Linked DNA regions of Caenorhabditis elegans. The main gene of each other region encodes a partner of the protein of the gene in region 3 in a complex. Each region holds a gene or a part of one and is shown on either strand. Other genes may lie near its edges.

Evidence for each region.
Region 1: arx-4 (region 3) and arx-1 share a complex: the UniProt entries of both Caenorhabditis elegans proteins name them as parts of the arp2/3 complex.
Region 2: arx-4 (region 3) and arx-5 share a complex: the UniProt entries of both Caenorhabditis elegans proteins name them as parts of the arp2/3 complex.
Region 4: arx-4 (region 3) and arx-6 share a complex: the UniProt entries of both Caenorhabditis elegans proteins name them as parts of the arp2/3 complex.

What each region holds. Positions count from the first base shown.
Region 1 is NC_003279.8:2,890,678-2,895,594, reverse strand, and holds the start of arx-1 (Actin-related protein 3), read left to right. Parts: upstream 1-1,876; 5' UTR 1,877-1,881; coding exon 1,882-1,984; intron 1,985-2,038; coding exon 2,039-2,181; intron 2,182-2,851; coding exon 2,852-2,962; intron 2,963-4,127; coding exon 4,128-4,289; intron 4,290-4,333; coding exon of another isoform or gene 4,334-4,917. Other genes in the region: copa-1 (Coatomer subunit alpha), read left to right, coding at 1-33; Y71F9AL.6 (Protein PBN1), read right to left, coding at 4,334-4,917. UniProt on the Caenorhabditis elegans protein: Functions as ATP-binding component of the Arp2/3 complex which is involved in regulation of actin polymerization and together with an activating nucleation-promoting factor (NPF) mediates the formation of branched actin networks.
Region 2 is NC_003281.10:12,816,267-12,819,641, forward strand, and holds arx-5 (putative actin-related protein 2/3 complex subunit 3), read right to left. Parts: upstream 1,835-3,375; 5' UTR 1,831-1,834; coding exon 1,722-1,830; intron 1,666-1,721; coding exon 1,592-1,665; intron 1,547-1,591; coding exon 1,472-1,546; intron 954-1,471; coding exon 660-953; 3' UTR 523-659; downstream 1-522. Other genes in the region: BE10.4 (DUF148 domain-containing protein), read left to right, coding at 307-444; Y37D8A.25 (PH domain-containing protein), read right to left, coding at 2,458-2,614, 2,747-2,928. UniProt on the Caenorhabditis elegans protein: Functions as a component of the Arp2/3 complex which is involved in regulation of actin polymerization and together with an activating nucleation-promoting factor (NPF) mediates the formation of branched actin networks.
Region 3 is NC_003281.10:860,440-865,954, forward strand, and holds arx-4 (putative actin-related protein 2/3 complex subunit 2), read left to right. Parts: upstream 1-1,866; 5' UTR 1,867-1,870; coding exon 1,871-1,944; intron 1,945-2,358; coding exon 2,359-2,452; intron 2,453-2,499; coding exon 2,500-2,553; intron 2,554-2,603; coding exon 2,604-2,839; intron 2,840-4,375; coding exon 4,376-4,823; 3' UTR 4,824-4,957; downstream 4,958-5,515. Other genes in the region: exos-4.2 (Exoribonuclease phosphorolytic domain-containing protein), read left to right, coding at 200-725. UniProt on the Caenorhabditis elegans protein: Functions as actin-binding component of the Arp2/3 complex which is involved in regulation of actin polymerization and together with an activating nucleation-promoting factor (NPF) mediates the formation of branched actin networks.
Region 4 is NC_003281.10:4,876,897-4,880,166, forward strand, and holds arx-6 (putative actin-related protein 2/3 complex subunit 4), read left to right. Parts: upstream 1-1,761; 5' UTR 1,762-1,766; coding exon 1,767-1,877; intron 1,878-2,017; coding exon 2,018-2,237; intron 2,238-2,282; coding exon 2,283-2,383; intron 2,384-2,428; coding exon 2,429-2,506; 3' UTR 2,507-2,747; downstream 2,748-3,270. Other genes in the region: Protein tost-1, read right to left, coding at 821-1,000, 1,116-1,225, 1,276-1,414; C35D10.1 (ER membrane protein complex subunit 7 homolog), read left to right, coding at 2,851-2,955, 3,178-3,270. UniProt on the Caenorhabditis elegans protein: Functions as actin-binding component of the Arp2/3 complex which is involved in regulation of actin polymerization and together with an activating nucleation-promoting factor (NPF) mediates the formation of branched actin networks.

The DNA.
Region 1 (4,917 bases), on a different chromosome or scaffold from region 3:
CTTGGGCTCCGAATCTCAACTCTGAAGAGCTAAAAGTTGTGAAATATGATAATTTTTTCGTTTTTTGTGTGATATTAATTATTGTAATTTATTTGCCTTGTTCTTCCACAATTCCCATTGCTTTTGGTCCCTTCATATTATTTTCCCGTTGGGCGGCGGTTCATGTTTTCTATTTAAATTATGTGTTTTTAAAAATTATTTAAACCCCACAGAAAGATTATGATTGCATGCTGGTCTATTTTATTTGAATAAATCATGATTTTTTTACTTTTTTTCATTTATCTTTGGGGTAAGAAAATGTTCTCTAAATCAGTAATTTACATGGAGAAATTTGCTCGAAAAAATTCAAAAAAAATACAGTAAGAAAATTGTCGTAAAGTCTAGGGTTTTGGTATTGCGGACTACGACAAAATGCACACAAACCATTTTGGCACCGGAAAAAGGCAAAAGCCAGGATTTTATCGCGTTTTGGCTCATTTTTCTTGCAAATTTCCATGGAATTCAGTTAACATATACCTAATTATTCAGTTATTTCGAATTAATCAATAATTTTCAGTGAATTTCGCAATTTCTAAGTGGTCCAATGATGTCTGTCCACATATTTCCTTGAAAACTGATTGTTTTATCGGAATTTATTGATTTAAAATAATATATATAATAAAATCTGAATTTTAGAATCATTTTTGACGTGGAAAAGACCCGAAAAATCCAAAAATCACGAATAAACTGAACAATTAAGGTATTAATTTTTGATCCCCCACCCCCAGTTTCTCAGTTTCTCAGCAAAGGATTAAAACAATTGTTCTTCTTCTTTTCCCCCTACAAGAATTTCCTGTGAATTTCAATCGTAAAAATATCGATTTTCTGTTTATTCTTTGGATGAGTCACCGCACTCGCCGATTGTTTAACTAGTGCAGTTCGGCAGTTTTACGTTATTTTTTCACGATTTTTTGGATTCTGATCCTCTAGGTGACTTGAAAATACCGAATTTCATATCGTAATATGACAGAAAAATTTATGGCGGTAAAAAAATGCGGAAAAATTTTCTAATTTTAACGGAAAACTCCAAAAAGCCGTTGGAAAATGATTTTTATTTGATATTGGCATATTTAAATAATTTTTATCCTGTTTTTTAGTGGATTTGGATATTTTAACCCGATAGTTATGTATAACGGCTTAAAAATTGCCAAAATCAGCGAAAAAACGCGAGAAAAATCACTTAAATATGGAAAATAGAACAATAATCAAATAAACCCGATTATCCAAGCCAAAACTGAGTTTTTTTTTTCGCATTTTTGAACTTCAAAATTTCGAAAAAATGGGCTATTTTTAACGAAAATCCCCAATTTTGCAATTTTTTCGTGTCACAGCCGTCGGAAATTGATTTTTATTTGATTTTTGACACATTTGAGTGATTTTATCCTTTTTTTTTCGTGGATTTAGGTACTTTTAGCCGATAGTTACGTATTGCTAAAATACTGGCTTAATAAGTAGCTAAATCGACGAAAAAATATGTTTTAAAAAACCAAAAATGGCAAAATTTTACGATTTTTGCTAAATCTTTTTTTTTTTTGAAATTTTAAATCGTCATAAAATTATTTAGCTAAATTTTTGTTAAACATTTCAGCGAAAAACTCCATTTTTGCCAATTTTTTGTGTCACAGCGGTTGAAAATTGCGTTAATTTAGGTATATTTGAAGCCAAAAAAGGAACAAAATTAATTTATTTGCAAAATTATCAATTTCCGGCTTAAAAACGCTCCAAGATTGGAGATTTCAGCGGAAATTAGCCCATTTTTTCGAATTTCTAAACCGCTAGACTGAAATTCCGTCTTTTTCTCCCATTTAAAACAAAAAAAATCCCAAATTTTTTGCAGCAAGCATGTCGGCCCATCAACTACCGGCATGTGTGATCGACAATGGAACGGGTTATACGAAGCTCGGATATGCTGGGAACACGGAACCTCAGTTTATTATTCCATCTGGTTAGATTTATTGATTTTCAGCCTATTTTTCATAAAATCCAGTGAATTTTCCAGCAATTGCCGTGAAGGACAAGGTGGCGAGCTCGAATTCGCAGGCGATGCGCTGGAATAACCGAGTCGGAGCCGGGATAGACGATCTTGATTTCTTTATTGGAGATGAAGCTTTGTCGCCGGCCGCTACGAATTATACTGTCAAAGTTCGTAGTTAATAGACCATATTTATGCTCCTGATGTCAAATATCAATGTGAAATTTTTTTTTTTAATTCCCAGATTTTATATAATTTTTTAAAATCCAAAAATCCTAATTTTAAATTTAAACGACAAAATTTTGCATGATAACCGTGCCGCAGGTGTGGATTTACGAGATTAATATTTTTAATTCATTTTTATTTAATTTTCACACCGATTTTCCCGTTTTTTCGTTGTTATACATTGAAATTCTTGGGATTTTCATAAATTTATTCATAAATTTACTTTTTATTAATGAAAACAAATTAAATTACAAGAAATATCGAACTTTTGCTGAAAAAATCGAATATTTCACGTATTTTTGTTGTTTTCATTAATAAAAAGTCATAAATTAATGGAAATCATGATAATTTTAATGTAAAACAAGGAAAAATCGGGAAAATCGGTGTGAAAATTAAATAAAAATGAATGAAAAATATTAGTCTCGTAAATCCACACATGCGGCACGGTTATCATGCAAAATTTGTCGTTTCTGAATTTAACATTTTGGACTTTTGGATTAAAAAAAATATAATTTTTTATAAAATCGGGAATTTTATTTTTTGAATTTTTCACATTGATATTAGGTATCAGGAGCATATGGAAAAAATGTTTAAAATTAAAATTAAATTTTTTAGTATCCAATTCGGCATGGAATCGTCGAAGACTGGGATCTTATGGAACGATACTGGGAGCAGTGCATTTTCAAATACTTGAGAGCCGAGCCAGAGGATCATTTCTTCCTTTTGGTACGGGAGAGAAGCAGAAAATTCGGGAAAAAATGCTCTGGAACAATATTTTGGCCACTTTTAAAAGAAAAGGGGGTCGAAAATCCGTTTTTTTAATAGAAAATATCCTGTAAAATGGATGTAAATCGGTGAAAAGCTATATATTACAGAAAAAACACGTGAAAAGTGATAAATTTCGATGAAAAAAGCTTAAAAATCACGAAATTTTGCAATTTTTGACTCTAAAATTACGGTATCCGGTCTTGACAGGACAATTTTTTTGGAAATAAAGCATGTGATACCAATTTAAAAAATACGTAAAAATTTTGAAAAAAACGGGAGAAAAATCAAGGAATTTCCCCCGAAAACTCCGGTATTTTTAAGCTTTATTAATTAAAATTAATTAAATGAAAAATCTACATTTTTTCAAAAAAATAGCAAAAAAAATTTTTTTTCGTATTAAAATCCTAATTTTATAGGAAAAGCTGTTTTTTTGAAGATATGGCTTTAATTTTCTATTTAAAAAATCGTTTTTTTTTTCTGGAAATTTACAAAATTTTGTTTCTAATTTTTTTTAAAGTAAGGGTCCCGCCACGATCTACCTGAGCTTCAACTTTCAGGCTTAAAGTTGGTGTAGTCGAATTTTTTTTTTGCTTTATTAGAATCAAAATTGTCTAAAAACACCGAATTTCATAATGAAACTTCTTGAAAAAAAACAGTTATGACGGTTCAAAAAATCGGCTAAAATTAGTTAAAATTTGAAATTTGGCCTTTTGAAATTACCGTCAAATTTTAGATATATAAGTTTATTATCGTGCGTTTTCAACTCGATTTAGGTATTTTAAAGTCGGTGGACTTGGAGATTTGGTAATAAAAATTTAAAAATCTCCAAGTCCACCGGCTTTAAAATACCTAAATCGAGTTGAAAACGCACAATAATCAACTTATATATCTAAAATTTGACGGTAATTTCAAAAGGCCAAATTTCAAATTTTAACTGTTTTAGGCCATTTTTTTGGAGCCGCCATAACTTTTTTTTTGAGAAGTTTTCAATTCATTATGAAATTCGGTGTTTTCAGACAATTTTTGAGTCTAATAAAGCAATTTTTTTTTTAAAAATCGACTACACCACCTTTAAATAGCGAATATTAGGCAGTTTTCCACGAAAAAATTTGAAAATTTCCAGACGGAACCACCACTCAACACTCCGGAAAACCGAGAATATACTGCTGAAATTATGTTCGAGTCGTTCAACGTGCCAGGCTTGTACATAGCCGTTCAGGCCGTCCTAGCGTTGACTGCCAGCTGGAATTCCAGAGAAGCCAACGAGCGAAGCTTGACTGGATTGGTAGGAAATTTTTTCGCTTTTGAGAAAAAAAAATTTTTATTATTTTATTTGTCACTTATTAAATAGCCAAAAATGCAAATTAATACCAGCAAAAACATGAAAAATATAATGAAAAACGACAATTTACACATTCCCGACAATGATGGATACTTGTTCCCGTCTACTTCGGCTTCTCCTGCAACTGCAAAAAAATCGAATTGCTCCTCACCATCAAGCGCTCCGAATCCCAAAATATCCTCATCGAAACTCGAAACCTCGCGGAGCAACACAGGCAGCTCTTGCAGCCAGAAACTTCCAGTTTTCCGTGGATCTTGCTCCAAATGCGTCAGAAATAGATGCCAAATTTGGCGGAATCTCTCCTTTTCGGCTTGTCGGCGGTTCGCATTTTCTAGCTGCTCATGATCTTCGGCTTCAGCGTGGAAAGCGGTTCTGAGTGCTTCTTCGTCGATTTTCGGGATGTACGCAGAAATTGCCATGTCGAGTAGAGAGTGTGGGAGACTGAGAGGGACAGGGAGAGATGACGTGGATTCTGGTGTACCGACGACGATCGATAATGTTTTCGAGGTACCTGTGTACCATCTGCCGTCTCTGCTAGCAATTGCATAACACGCAAGAAAAACGCCAAAAA
Region 2 (3,375 bases), about 12 Mb from region 3:
TCTGACTGGAAAACGGCAAAAAAACTGATTTAAAACAATTTTTAACAGGAAAAAAGAAAAAAAAGTACCATAAACTTTTTTGCGCGCCGAGACCCATCTGAACAAATCTGTGCGCCTTTAAGACGGAAATCTTGGAAAATTACGGGAAATTAATAGTTTTTTTCCCGATTTTATTTGAAAAAACCTGAAAATTTTTCGATTTTCTAATAAAAAAGGCCTATATTTGGGGTTTTCTGAAAAAAATTCGACTATTTTCCAATTTTCTCGGAGAAAATCTTAAAATTTTCAATTTTTCTCAATTTCCAGGCTCTTCCAGTCTCCCAACTTCCCGAAGAGGTTCGAAGTCACTTGGCACGTTGCCAGATAACTGCTCCAGAAGTCGTACACGATACCGTGGCGTTTTTGTTGTCAGTGATGGGATCCAAGCAGACAAATTATCGGTAGAGCATAGAGATTTCGCGTATTTCGCGCACAACATATTTGACGCGCGCAAAATATGTTGCGTTACCGTAATAAAATGATGAAATCGGAATTTTAATGAATATTTTAAAGCAGCACAAAAAGTAAAACTGGACGCAATATAAATATAATTACATGGAAAAAAAAATGGGAAAAGTGAAAAAATTTTGAGCCAGATACAACAATAATTAATCGATAATTCACAAATTAACACCCTGTCCAACGAGCCCCTTGTCCATGAATCGTCTTCTCGCGAAACAGAGCCACCACTTGCTCGGACGATCTTGGGGATCCGGGAACGCGAGATCACACAGACGGGCGCCGATTTCTTGGCGAATTTGTTGCAAATAGGCACGCATTTCGTCCTCGTCCGGTTTCGATTGGGGCGCCTTGTACATGCTGTTCAGTGGGAATCCATTTTCACCGGGAATTGGAAGCAAATGACTGAGAGCCAAGGCGTGAAGATCCTTTTGGCCGGCTATCTTGTTTGGGCTCTGAAAATTTGAAAAAATTTGCAAAAAAAAAACATGTTTTTACGCTTTATTTCACTCAAAATAGCCCGAAAAGACCGAATTTTGTAACTAGAATTTTTTTTTATAATTTCCAAAATTTTGAGAAAAAAAAAAGTTGGATTTCTCCGAAGAAAATCGGAAAAATTTCGGATTTTTTCAGTGAAAATCGAAAAATTTTCGGATTTTTTCAGGGAAAACCAGAAAAATTTTGGAATTTTCAGGGAATATTAAACAATTTTTAGATTTTTTTCAGGGAAAAACCAAAAAAATTCGATTTTTTCAGAGAAAACCTTAAAATTTGTGGATTTTTCAGAGAAAATTGAAAGAATTTGGGATTTTTTCAGAGAAAATCGAAAATGTTTCGAATTTGAAATTTTCTACTTAAAAAAATCTGTTTTCGGTAGGAATGTTCAAAATATCCATTGAAATTCGGTATGTTTGGGTCTTTTTTTCTTATTTTTCAATCTAAAAAGTAGGTTTTTTTCGTGCAAAATCCGTACTTTTTGCAATTTTCTGAGGCACTCGGTGATGTAGAAGATGAGATAGATCATTGTACGGTCCGCGGGACCTTTGATCTGAAAATTTCTCAATTTTAATAGGGAAAAATCTCGAAAATCAACCTCAAATTCGCGGAAAAAGATGTTCGGCTTGAAGTAGGTGAGCGCTTCGTCGATGATGTCATCCTGATTGGTTTCTGCAATAATTTTAATATATAATATAGGTTTTTTCAATCAATTTTTGAAGACTTACGAGGCGCTGGACCCTTGAAATTGGTTCGAATCGGAAGTTTTCCCATATTTGTGTTGCCCAATGGCAAAACTTTGAGTTCAGTGTCGAATTTTGAGTGGTATGCCGGCATTTCACTGAAAAATAAGTGTTTTGTTTGGAAAAATGCATAGAAAACGGCTTATTTTCGGATACCCGAGGGGGGGGGGGGGTAAGTACATAATGAGTCACTGCGGCTGCGAAAAAAAATCGATAAATTGTGAAATTCGAGTTTTAAATTAAAATATAAGTATTTTATTCGATAAAAATGCAGTTTTTGAAGCGATAATGTCGTTGCGGACGCGAAAATTAAAGTAAAACCCGAAAATACACTTTTATTCGGAAATTCGTGTTAAAATATATGAAAACTTGGAATTAATATGATTAATATCAGCTTACAAGTTTCCTATAATCAGATATTTAAGAAAAATTGGAAAAAATCAAAGATTTTCTGCTTTTTAAACGTTTTTTCTGATGAAATTCTCTCCAGGAACGGAAAAATAAATAATAATCTCGTGTAAGTTTACGGTAAACAAGGCGCGACATCGGAATATCGGAGCATCGTTTGGAAATTTTTAATGAAATTTCGCGATTTTTTGCGAAAAAAACGATAAATTCAGGGAAATTCCAGCTGCAAAACAAAGCAAAAAACGTTAAAAATGTATGATTTATAATCAATAAGTCAAAATATCACAGTGAAAATGTGCAAAATGTATAAAAATCAATCCCTCATCGCTTTCTTCTGAGTTTGCTCGATTTGCTCATGAAAACTTTGTTTCGAGAGCTGTATATAGTCGATCGGGGAGATTGTGAGCAGCGAAACCCAACGTCCCAGCGATTTGAACGAGTCGGCGGCGAAGATGAAGCTTCGAGCAGTTCTGGAAAAAAATCGGATAATTTTAGGAATTTTCAATCGATTTTTCATCGATTTTCGATAAAACCGATAAAAATTCAGTTTTTTTTTGGAATTTAGTATTAATTTTTCGTGTTGAGACCCGGAAAAAACGCACGATTTGAATTTGATTTCAAAAGTGAAATCCTTGCCAATCTTATTCTCATCACATAATTCGATAAAACAGTCTTCAATAATTAGTAGTAAAAATGGAGGAGCCGACGTCTCCTCTTCGGTTTTATTGTACACGAAAAGCATATTGGCCTTGAGAACACCCCAGCCGGCACGCCATTGGAAATCCTGAAAAAAACTTTTTTTTTTAATAAAAAAATCATTTTTTTGATTTTTTAAATTTTCAAATTACTCCAAATTTCCCATATTTTGTTTTAAAAAAATTCAAAAAATTTCAAAAATCTTATATTTCAGCTTGAAAGCGCGAAACAATTTTCAAACTCGCGCCAGAAAAATTCTCATTGGAGCGCGCCATGCCATGTCGATTTACGAGGGGTTTTTTTGCAGCCAAATTCGGTTTTTTAAACCAGTTTTCTTCATTTTCTTCGGTTTTTTTAAATTAAAATGTGTTTTTTCGTGTAAATTTGGGTATTTTATTATTTTAAAAATTGAAAAATCAGTAAGTTTCGTTCACTTTACACGAAATAAATTATATTTCAAAAAAAAAAAATCAAAGAAACTAAAATTTGCAAGTTTCTTTGATTTTTTTGTTGAAAAATTTTTTTTTTCAAATTT
Region 3 (5,515 bases):
CCAAAAAAAACGCGATTATCAAACTCAAAAAGTTGCCGGAAATTTTTTGATGTTTTTCAAAATTAAATTTAGTCTTTTTCACCCATTTTGCACTGTTTTCCATTAAAAAATTATTTTCGTTTCGAGACTCGTAAACCTGTCACATATCACTACTAAATAAAATAACACAAACTAAGCCATATAAACTAAAAATTTTCAGCACAGGACCTGATGGTGACGGAAAATGGGAAGAGGATCGTGCTAAGATCACAATCGAACTGAAAGGAATTGAAGATTCGGTAAAAGTCGCAGAATATCGTGCTCAACTGGCGTCTGCAGTATCTGCTGTGATTTTCGCGAGCAAATATCCTGGAAAAGTGATCGAAATCGAGATAACCGTTCTTTCGGATGATGGTGGTGTTCTTTCAACTGCACTTTCAGCTGTCACACTAGCCATTTCTCATTCTGGAATTGAAAATATGGGATTAATGGCCAGTGTTCATGTGGCAATGAATTCTGATGGAGAATGCTTGACGGATCCATCAACTTCCGAATCCGAAGGAGCCATCGGTGGCGTCACATTCGCTTTCGTTCCGAATCTTGGCCAAACAACGTGTGTGGACATTTACGGACGAATCCCTCTCAAATCCACGTCATCACTTTTGGAATTTGCGAAGCAAAGAGCGTGTGCTCTGGTTCCGACGATTCATAAGGCAATTGTGAACAGTGTGCGAGAGAGAAAATAAATGTGTTGACAATTTTTAAATTTATCTCTCATTCCGAATATCTAATTTAGAAAAAAAAGTTTTTGCCCGATTATTTGAAAATACATTTTTCCGTCTAAATTGAACATTAAATAGAAATATAAAATTGAATTCGACAAAATTTTTTTTGAAAATATTTTTTAGTTCGTGATTTCAAGCTGAAATATAAAAAAACAGATATTCAAAATATCATGCTCAAAAAAAATATGGAAAAAAGAAATATCTTCGTTTGCATTAAATTTTTTTCGAATTCTTGAAAATTTTTTTCGAATTCTTGAGAATGAGAATTTGAAAAAAAAAATCTCAAGCGAAAATATTGAACATTTCCATATTTTTGAGCATGATATTTTGAATATCGGTTTTTTTTTATTTTAGCTCGAAATCACGAATTTCAAAAATTTGTCAAAATTAACATTACCGAATTCACAAGTTTAAAAAGGATTAAAAATTAACATTACCGAATTCACAAGTTTAAAAAGGATTAAACTTGTGAATTCGGTAAAGTTAATTTTGACAAATTTTTGAAATTCGTGATTTCGAGCTAAAATATAAAAAAAAACCGATATTCAAAATATCATGCTCGAAAATATGGAAATGTTCAATATTTTCGCTTGAGATTTTTTTTTCAAATTCTCAAGAATTCGAAAAAAAAATTTTTATTTTTAAAACGCTCAATTTAGACGGGAAAATGTATTTTTCAAAATCGGACGAAAACTTCTTTTTTTTCTAAATTAGATATTCGCCGATACATTTTCTAAAAATTCAATTAATTATCCCCGATTTCACTTCAAATGCACCCCCTTCCATCTTTAATGAATGGGAGGAAAGAGCGCTCCACTGCACACAGATTCTTTGAGTAAATATAATACTGTTTAGTCACCTTCCCTTTTGCCTTCTCCGTCGTTTCTTTCTCATTTCTTTCTTGTTGATTTTGTTGTTGTTTCCCTTTTCATTTTGTTCAACCGTCGTGGTTTTCACAGTTTTCCTTCATTTTAAATACAATGAATTCAGAATTCTCTATGCATTTAATACCCTTCTTATTCCGTCGCTGGTCGCGGTTTTGTATTTTAATTCCTTTTTAATTGTTTTTGTACATTTCTCTCTCTATTTTCTACACTTTCAGAAAAATGATCATTTTGGAGCAAAACAACCGAATTATCGTGGAACTTCTCGAGCAAAAATTTGCAAACGCGAAGGAAGGGTTGGTTTTTTTTTGAATTTTAAACGTATTTTTGTAATTTTGAAAGAAAACATAACTGCATAATTTTCCTTTATTTTTAAATTAAAAACATTACCTTTCCGAAATTATTACGGAAATTTCGTTATTTTTTCAAACGTTTGTTGAAAACAATACCAAGAAAAAGTAAACTTGTGTGCGGTTTTCCCGTAGATATAGGTCTCGCCACGAATTTAGCATTTTCAGGCTTTAAAAAGTGTATGTTTTTATAAAGAGTATAGTAATTTCTCCATGGTTCTTCAACTGAAGTGCCAGAGAAACAACGATGTGTGTGAGAGTAATGTACTTTTTGAAGGCACATAGCGTTAAATTGAAAATGATTTGATCGTGGCGAGACCTTAATATATTGTTACTCTCACTAATAATCACCTTTTTCAGTGGAAAACCAGAGTCGGTCAACGTGACATTCGCCGATTTTGACGGAGTTCTCTACAAACTTTCGAATCCAGATGGCGATAGAACCAAGATAATTGTTAGAAACTTTTTCACAGTCTAATAATTTTTAAAACTAATTTTCAGCTGAGCATCTCGCTAAAATTCTACACGGAACTGCAGCAACACGGAGCGGATGATGTATGTCGCCGCTTTTTTCTGATGAATATTTGATTTTCCAAAATTTCCAGCTCCTTCGTCGTGTGTACGGTGGTCATATGCGTTCAACTCCGGAACAAGGATTTAATGTCACTCTGGAATACAATTTGGCCGATCTTCCGGCAGATACAACGGATTTGGTGCAGGCAGCTTCTGCTTTGAAGAGAAATTGTTTTGCTTCAGTCTTTGAAAAGTATTTCGAATTCCAAGAGGCCGGCCAGGAGGGGCATAAGAGAGCTGTTATTAATTATAGAGATGATGAGACAATGTGAGTACCGGTTGTGTTATGGCGTTATTCGAGAAGTGTCGAAAAATTTAAAAGTGTAGAAAAACTACGCCACAACTGTTTTAAAATACATAAAAACATGTATTTTAATACAGTTGTGGCGTCATAAATGTTTTTGAACACATTTTGCAAAATTACTTGATTAACCCCATTAAACGAGGAAAGTTGAAAAATGTTCAATATTATAAAGATTTGTTCAATTAAAATAATTTCACAGAGAAAGGCTGAAAAGTGGCGTTTTTATTCCAGTTTTCGTGGATTTTCAGAGAATTTGATTTATTATTTAACTATCAAAAGATATAAAAATTTTCGATTTTTTCATATTTCGAAAAAATTCCAAGTTTGCCGGAATTTTTCAATTCCTGCACTTTGCCGTTTTGCCGGTTTTCCGCCCACCCCTGAATCGACTCTCTACAATTTTTCAAATAAATAATTTATTATTAGGTCTCCAAATAAGTTCCGGGTCAAAAATCATAACTTTGTTCGCTGCGAATCGATTTTTATGAAATTGTGGGAATTTATGTTATCAACCATGATCTTTCATTTGACAATAGTCACAAAATTTTTTGGCCGTCCGAAGTGCCCGTACTCATAGCCAATTTTTTCAGGCATTTTTCAGATCTCGCTTCTTTTCAGGTTTCAACTAAGGTTTGTGTGCGGATATTGCTTAGTTTAGTACACAATGTAAGAGAACAAGAAAAGTTTGAAAAAAATCCGTCCAAAAAAATTTTTTTGTCGATCGTCAAAAAATCTTCAAAAAATTTTTTGTCGAAAATTCTTAATTTTTCATACAAAAATGATGTAACCATGTGCAAACTATTTTTACACATACAAAAAATTTCAATTTAGTGCGTCTCACTAAAAAAAAATAACAAAAAACACAGCTTTTTCGAACTATTTTCGAGTTTTTGGAGTATTTCTCAAGATCCAAATTTCATACTCAAATGTTTTGTATGTGTAAAAATAGTTTGCACATGGTTACATCATTTTTGTATAAAAATTCAAGAATTTTCGACAAAAATTTTTTTGTAGATTTTTTGACGAGCGACAAAAAAAATTTTTTTGGACGGATTTTTTTTCAAACTTTTCTTGTTTTCTTACATTGTGTACTTAATTAAGCAATATCCGCACACAAACCTCAGTTGAAACCTGAAAAGAAGCGAGATCTGAAAATGCCTGAAAAAATTGGCTCCGAGTACGGACACTTCGGACGGCCAAAAAATTTTGTGACTATTGTCAAATGAAAGATCATGGTTGATAACATAAATTCCCAAAGTTTCATAAAAATCGATTCGCAGCGAACAAAGTTATGATTTTTGACCCGGAACTTATTTGGAGATCTAATAATAATCACAAATTTGCCATTTTCTCTGAAAAATAGTAAGAATTAATAAAAAAGTGTTTTTCACTTTTTCAATACGCACAAATTTCTTATTTTTTGAACAAAAAATTCTGAAAAACAGTACTTTTTAATTGTAATACTGCAAATAATATACTTTAAACCCCAATGATTTTCAGGTACATTGAAGCGAAAGCGGATCGTGTGACCGTAATCTTCAGTACAGTTTTCAAGGACGCTGACGATGTGATAATCGGAAAAGTGTTCCTTCAAGAATTCCGTGAAGGCCGAAAAGCCAGTCAAACTGCTCCAGCAGTACTCTACTCACTCGGTGAACCACCTTTGGAGCTTAAAGATCTTCCAGAAGCCCGTGTTGGAGACAATGTTGGATACATTACATTTGTGTTGTTCCCACGTCACACAAATAAGAAGACAAAAGACAATACGATTGATTTGATTCATTCGTTCCGTGACTATCTTCATTATCATATCAAATGTTCCAAAGTCTACCTTCACACCAGAATGCGTGCCAAGACCACTGATTTCTTGAAGGTTCTCAATCGGGCACGTCCAGAGGTCAAAGGAGAAAAGAAGACGTTCCATGGAAGAACTTTTCAGACCCAATAAATGTACAAATTATCACAATTGTTACCAAATATTTTTTTTCTGTTTTCGCTTTAAAACCTTATTTATTGCTTTGATTGTAAAATGTTCTTATGAGGTTCGTGAAATTTTGATATGAAATGAATTATTGCAGTAAAATGGAGAGCGATAGTTAAGGCACAATTTGTGGAATGATATCAATTACTATCCGATTTCAAAGAAGAAAAACATGGACGGGCTGAAAATGCATAGGGATCGGAGGAGAGAGAGGAGAACAGGTATTCAGGTAGACCCTAGTAGTTTGACCTACGAAACTTGCGGGAATGGTGTTTACGCGTCATGGCAAACAACGAGGAGTCCACCTGAACACATGTAATGTAATAATGAAGAAATCTCCTAAAAATCATAAAAATTTTCAAATATTATCATTTGGAGCAATTTTACGGGCCTCTAAAGTAGTGAAAAAAAAAACACTATTCAGCTCGATTTTTATCCAGTTCAAAGTGTTTTTTTGCCGGCCTATTTAGGAGGTACTCTTTTAACATAGATTTCATCCAGAAGTCGGGGTTAACTTGAAATACTTCCCTTGTTCTCTCACATGATCTAAAATACTCATTCACATCTTTTAGTTGTCCTGCAAATACGCTTCACATTTTTTTTCTTCAATTTTTTGCAATTCATGTATGCTGAATTCAGAAAAACTAGGTTTAACCCAT
Region 4 (3,270 bases), 4.0 Mb from region 3:
TTGTAAGTCGCTACTCAGTCGATTTACCAATTGAGAGGTTGAATGCTTAAAATGCACATATTTCAGAACAGTCTTTTCCCTAGGAAATTTCAAATTTTATCTGATGTTCAGATCGTAGCACATGCTCTTTTGATCGGTTATTATTCATTCGGGGATTGACTGAGGATCTTTAGATTCTTTCTCACTTTCAGGTAGACTTCCTCGCGGCTTCGGCTCCGGTAGTAGTAGTTTACATATCAGGATTTTCAACACTTTTGTATTCCGACACTATTCCACTGGAAAATTCACTTATTGTGCATTTTTGGCAAAATTCTACAAGTTTCAAGGGAGACGCGCTTATACAAAAGGGTCTCGCCGCGGGAATCGTATTTATTAAAGATACTTGGTTTAAATGTCTTCTTACGTTAACAGAAGATTATTTTTAATATGTTTTTCTCGCGGCGAGACCCCTACACACATATGCTCTGTCCTTTGAACTTAAATGTTACTCTTTTCGTTTCAATACCAAATGCGCAATAAATCCCGCATTGAAGCATAGCGTTCTCCCATTACTTCTGCTCCCATTTCAGTTATTTTTTATGCCAATCTTGAAATTATTGCGTGCTCAAACGAAAATCAAACAAGCACTTACTTTGAACGATTTACTTATCGAAGGAATACCACAGAAAATCGTAGGATAAGATTATGAAAATTTGCACTGAAGTTCATGGGTGTGGGAAAACGAGGGAAATTATAACACTTAAAGAAGAAAAGGGCTGCTCAAAAATTGTGAGAAAAATACATAAATTTTGGAAAATGAATTTTGCAATTTATGGAAAAATTAAACGGATTGAAGAATGCTTCTGGTGATTTCTTGAATGTAGATATCCGAGCTGGTGAGCTTCTTCTCATCAGTAGAGGACGGCTTCAAAACAGCTTTCTTGGTCGGTGCATTCTCCTTGTCCTCCTCTTCGAAAACTTTCTCCGGTGAATTGACAATTGGATTTTTTGCGAGATAGTTCTGAAACATAACCAGGTTCTCATAAAATCTCAAAGTTTCATTTTTTAAGGAAAACATTAAGAGTTGTGTTAATATCAGTGCTTTGATTAAAAGTTCGAATAGTCTAAATAATTACCTCCACAAATTCCTTTTTCGAATTCAAGTTCCGGTCGTGAACGACAAAGAAGACATCAGAATCGTTTTTGACAGTCTCTGGCTCAGTGGCTTGAATAGTGTACCCCTTTTCTGGAAGACAACTATGTTATTATGATTCAAAAATGCTTGAAAACATTTACCGAGAACTCCGAAGCGCTCATTCAATGTGATTCGTTTATTTGTCGCAGTTTTGTACTTGTTTTCCAGAATCGACGCCACTTTGTTGCTGTGCTCACGGTCAGCTAAAGGAATAACTTGATATTGGATGGCAGTAGTCATTCTGAAAGGTTTAAATTTTTAAATTTTACTGAAAACGCAAAATATTTTGCAAAATGGGAAAGTGGAATGATTGAAAATCAGAAAATTAATTTTAAAATTGACAATTTTTAAAAGAATGGATGATAAATTTGTCTTCGCGCGCTACTCGAAACAAAAAGTGCAGCGGAGCGTGTTTGCATTACTTTCAAAACGACGCAAATAATGATTCATTTTCGGATTATCGACTCCAATTTTACGATTTTCGCCGGTATTTCATGTTTTATTTTGTTCCATGCAATCTTTTTTCACTTCTAAATAATGTCTCAAACTGTTTCGTCAATAAAAAAATCAATAAGCATGCGCATTGCAGGTAATGAGCGCAACACTCCAACCATATCTGGAGGCCGTGCGTCACACGCTCCAGGCAGCTCTCTGTCTTGAGCAATTCAGTTCGCAGGTGGTCGAGAGACACAACAAACCAGAAGTAAGATTTATAACAGTAAAATGACTTGCAAAGTGTGAAGATTGAATAATTTAAATCAGTCCGCCGCCAATTGCAATAGTTTTTCGCTCAAAAACTATTTAAATGTATTATTCTATTTGTATATTATAATAAAATTGTAGGTGGAAGTTCAAACATCGAAAGAACTGCTCATGACGCCAGTTGTTGTTGCTCGAAACAAACAGGAACGAGTACTCATCGAACCCTCCGTCAATTCTGTCAGAATATCAATCGCCATCAAACAATCCGACGAAATCGAGAAGATTCTGTGCCACAAGTTCACTCGATTCATGTGCCAAAGAGCCGATAACTTCTTTGTGCTCCGTCGCAAGCCACTGCCAGGTCAGAATTAATACTAATATTCAGAGATTAAAGCGATAATTTTAGGTTATGACATCTCGTTCCTCATCACAGCATCTCACACAGAAGCAATGTTCAAGCACAAACTTGTCGACTTTTTGCTTCATTTTATGCAGGAAATTGATAAGGTGAACATTTTAAGTTAATTTTTAAAAAATTCCATAAATTTCCAGGAAATTTCCGAGATGAAGCTGTCTCTCAACGCCCGTGCCCGTGTTTCTGCTGAAGAATTTTTGAAGCGTTTCAATTAATTTTCTCCCCATGATTCCCAATTCATTTTTCTCATTTTCACTCAAATTCCGAAGACTTTAAACTATTATGTGAACACGGTTTTTTGATCAATTTGTGTAAATATCATCTTTATTCTCAATTTTTTCACTTTTTGTTTCTGAAAATGACTCCCCTCCCAAAAATTTCCTGTTTTAGGTCCTATTTTGCCTTTTTGATTATCGATTTTTTTTACCGCACACTGACTTTATGAATTATTTATTCAATTTTTGCAATATGTATGATCTGAAATATCTCGTGAAACATTTACGAGCTTTAATATTTTAAAATGATTATTAAGTTGGAAATTGACAAATCAATTTCAGAAATGAAGTCTATTCTACTTTTATTCTCCCTGATAGTGCTCGGCAGTGCAACAGAAGAAGTGAGCAGAACTGAGCAAACATCGACATTATTCTCCGTCGAAGGCGAGGTTCGTATACCAAAAATGTTTGATTTTTGGATTAAAAATATCGATCATTTTGGCTATATTCATAGAGAAGTCATATTATAAATTAAGACAACGTTTATATGCTTCTGAATACTTTTTCCAGTTCTCACATTTTTTAAAATTTTATCTTCTAGGTTCCTATTCTAATAACAACAAATTCGTTGTAAATTAAATATTTCATAGTCCTCAAAAAAAAAATTTCAGATCGCACTTCCATCTACTCGAAATTGTGCAAAATGGTCCGCAGGTGCTCGTATTCATTTGAACCATGGCCAATATATGGGATTTGTTCGTCAA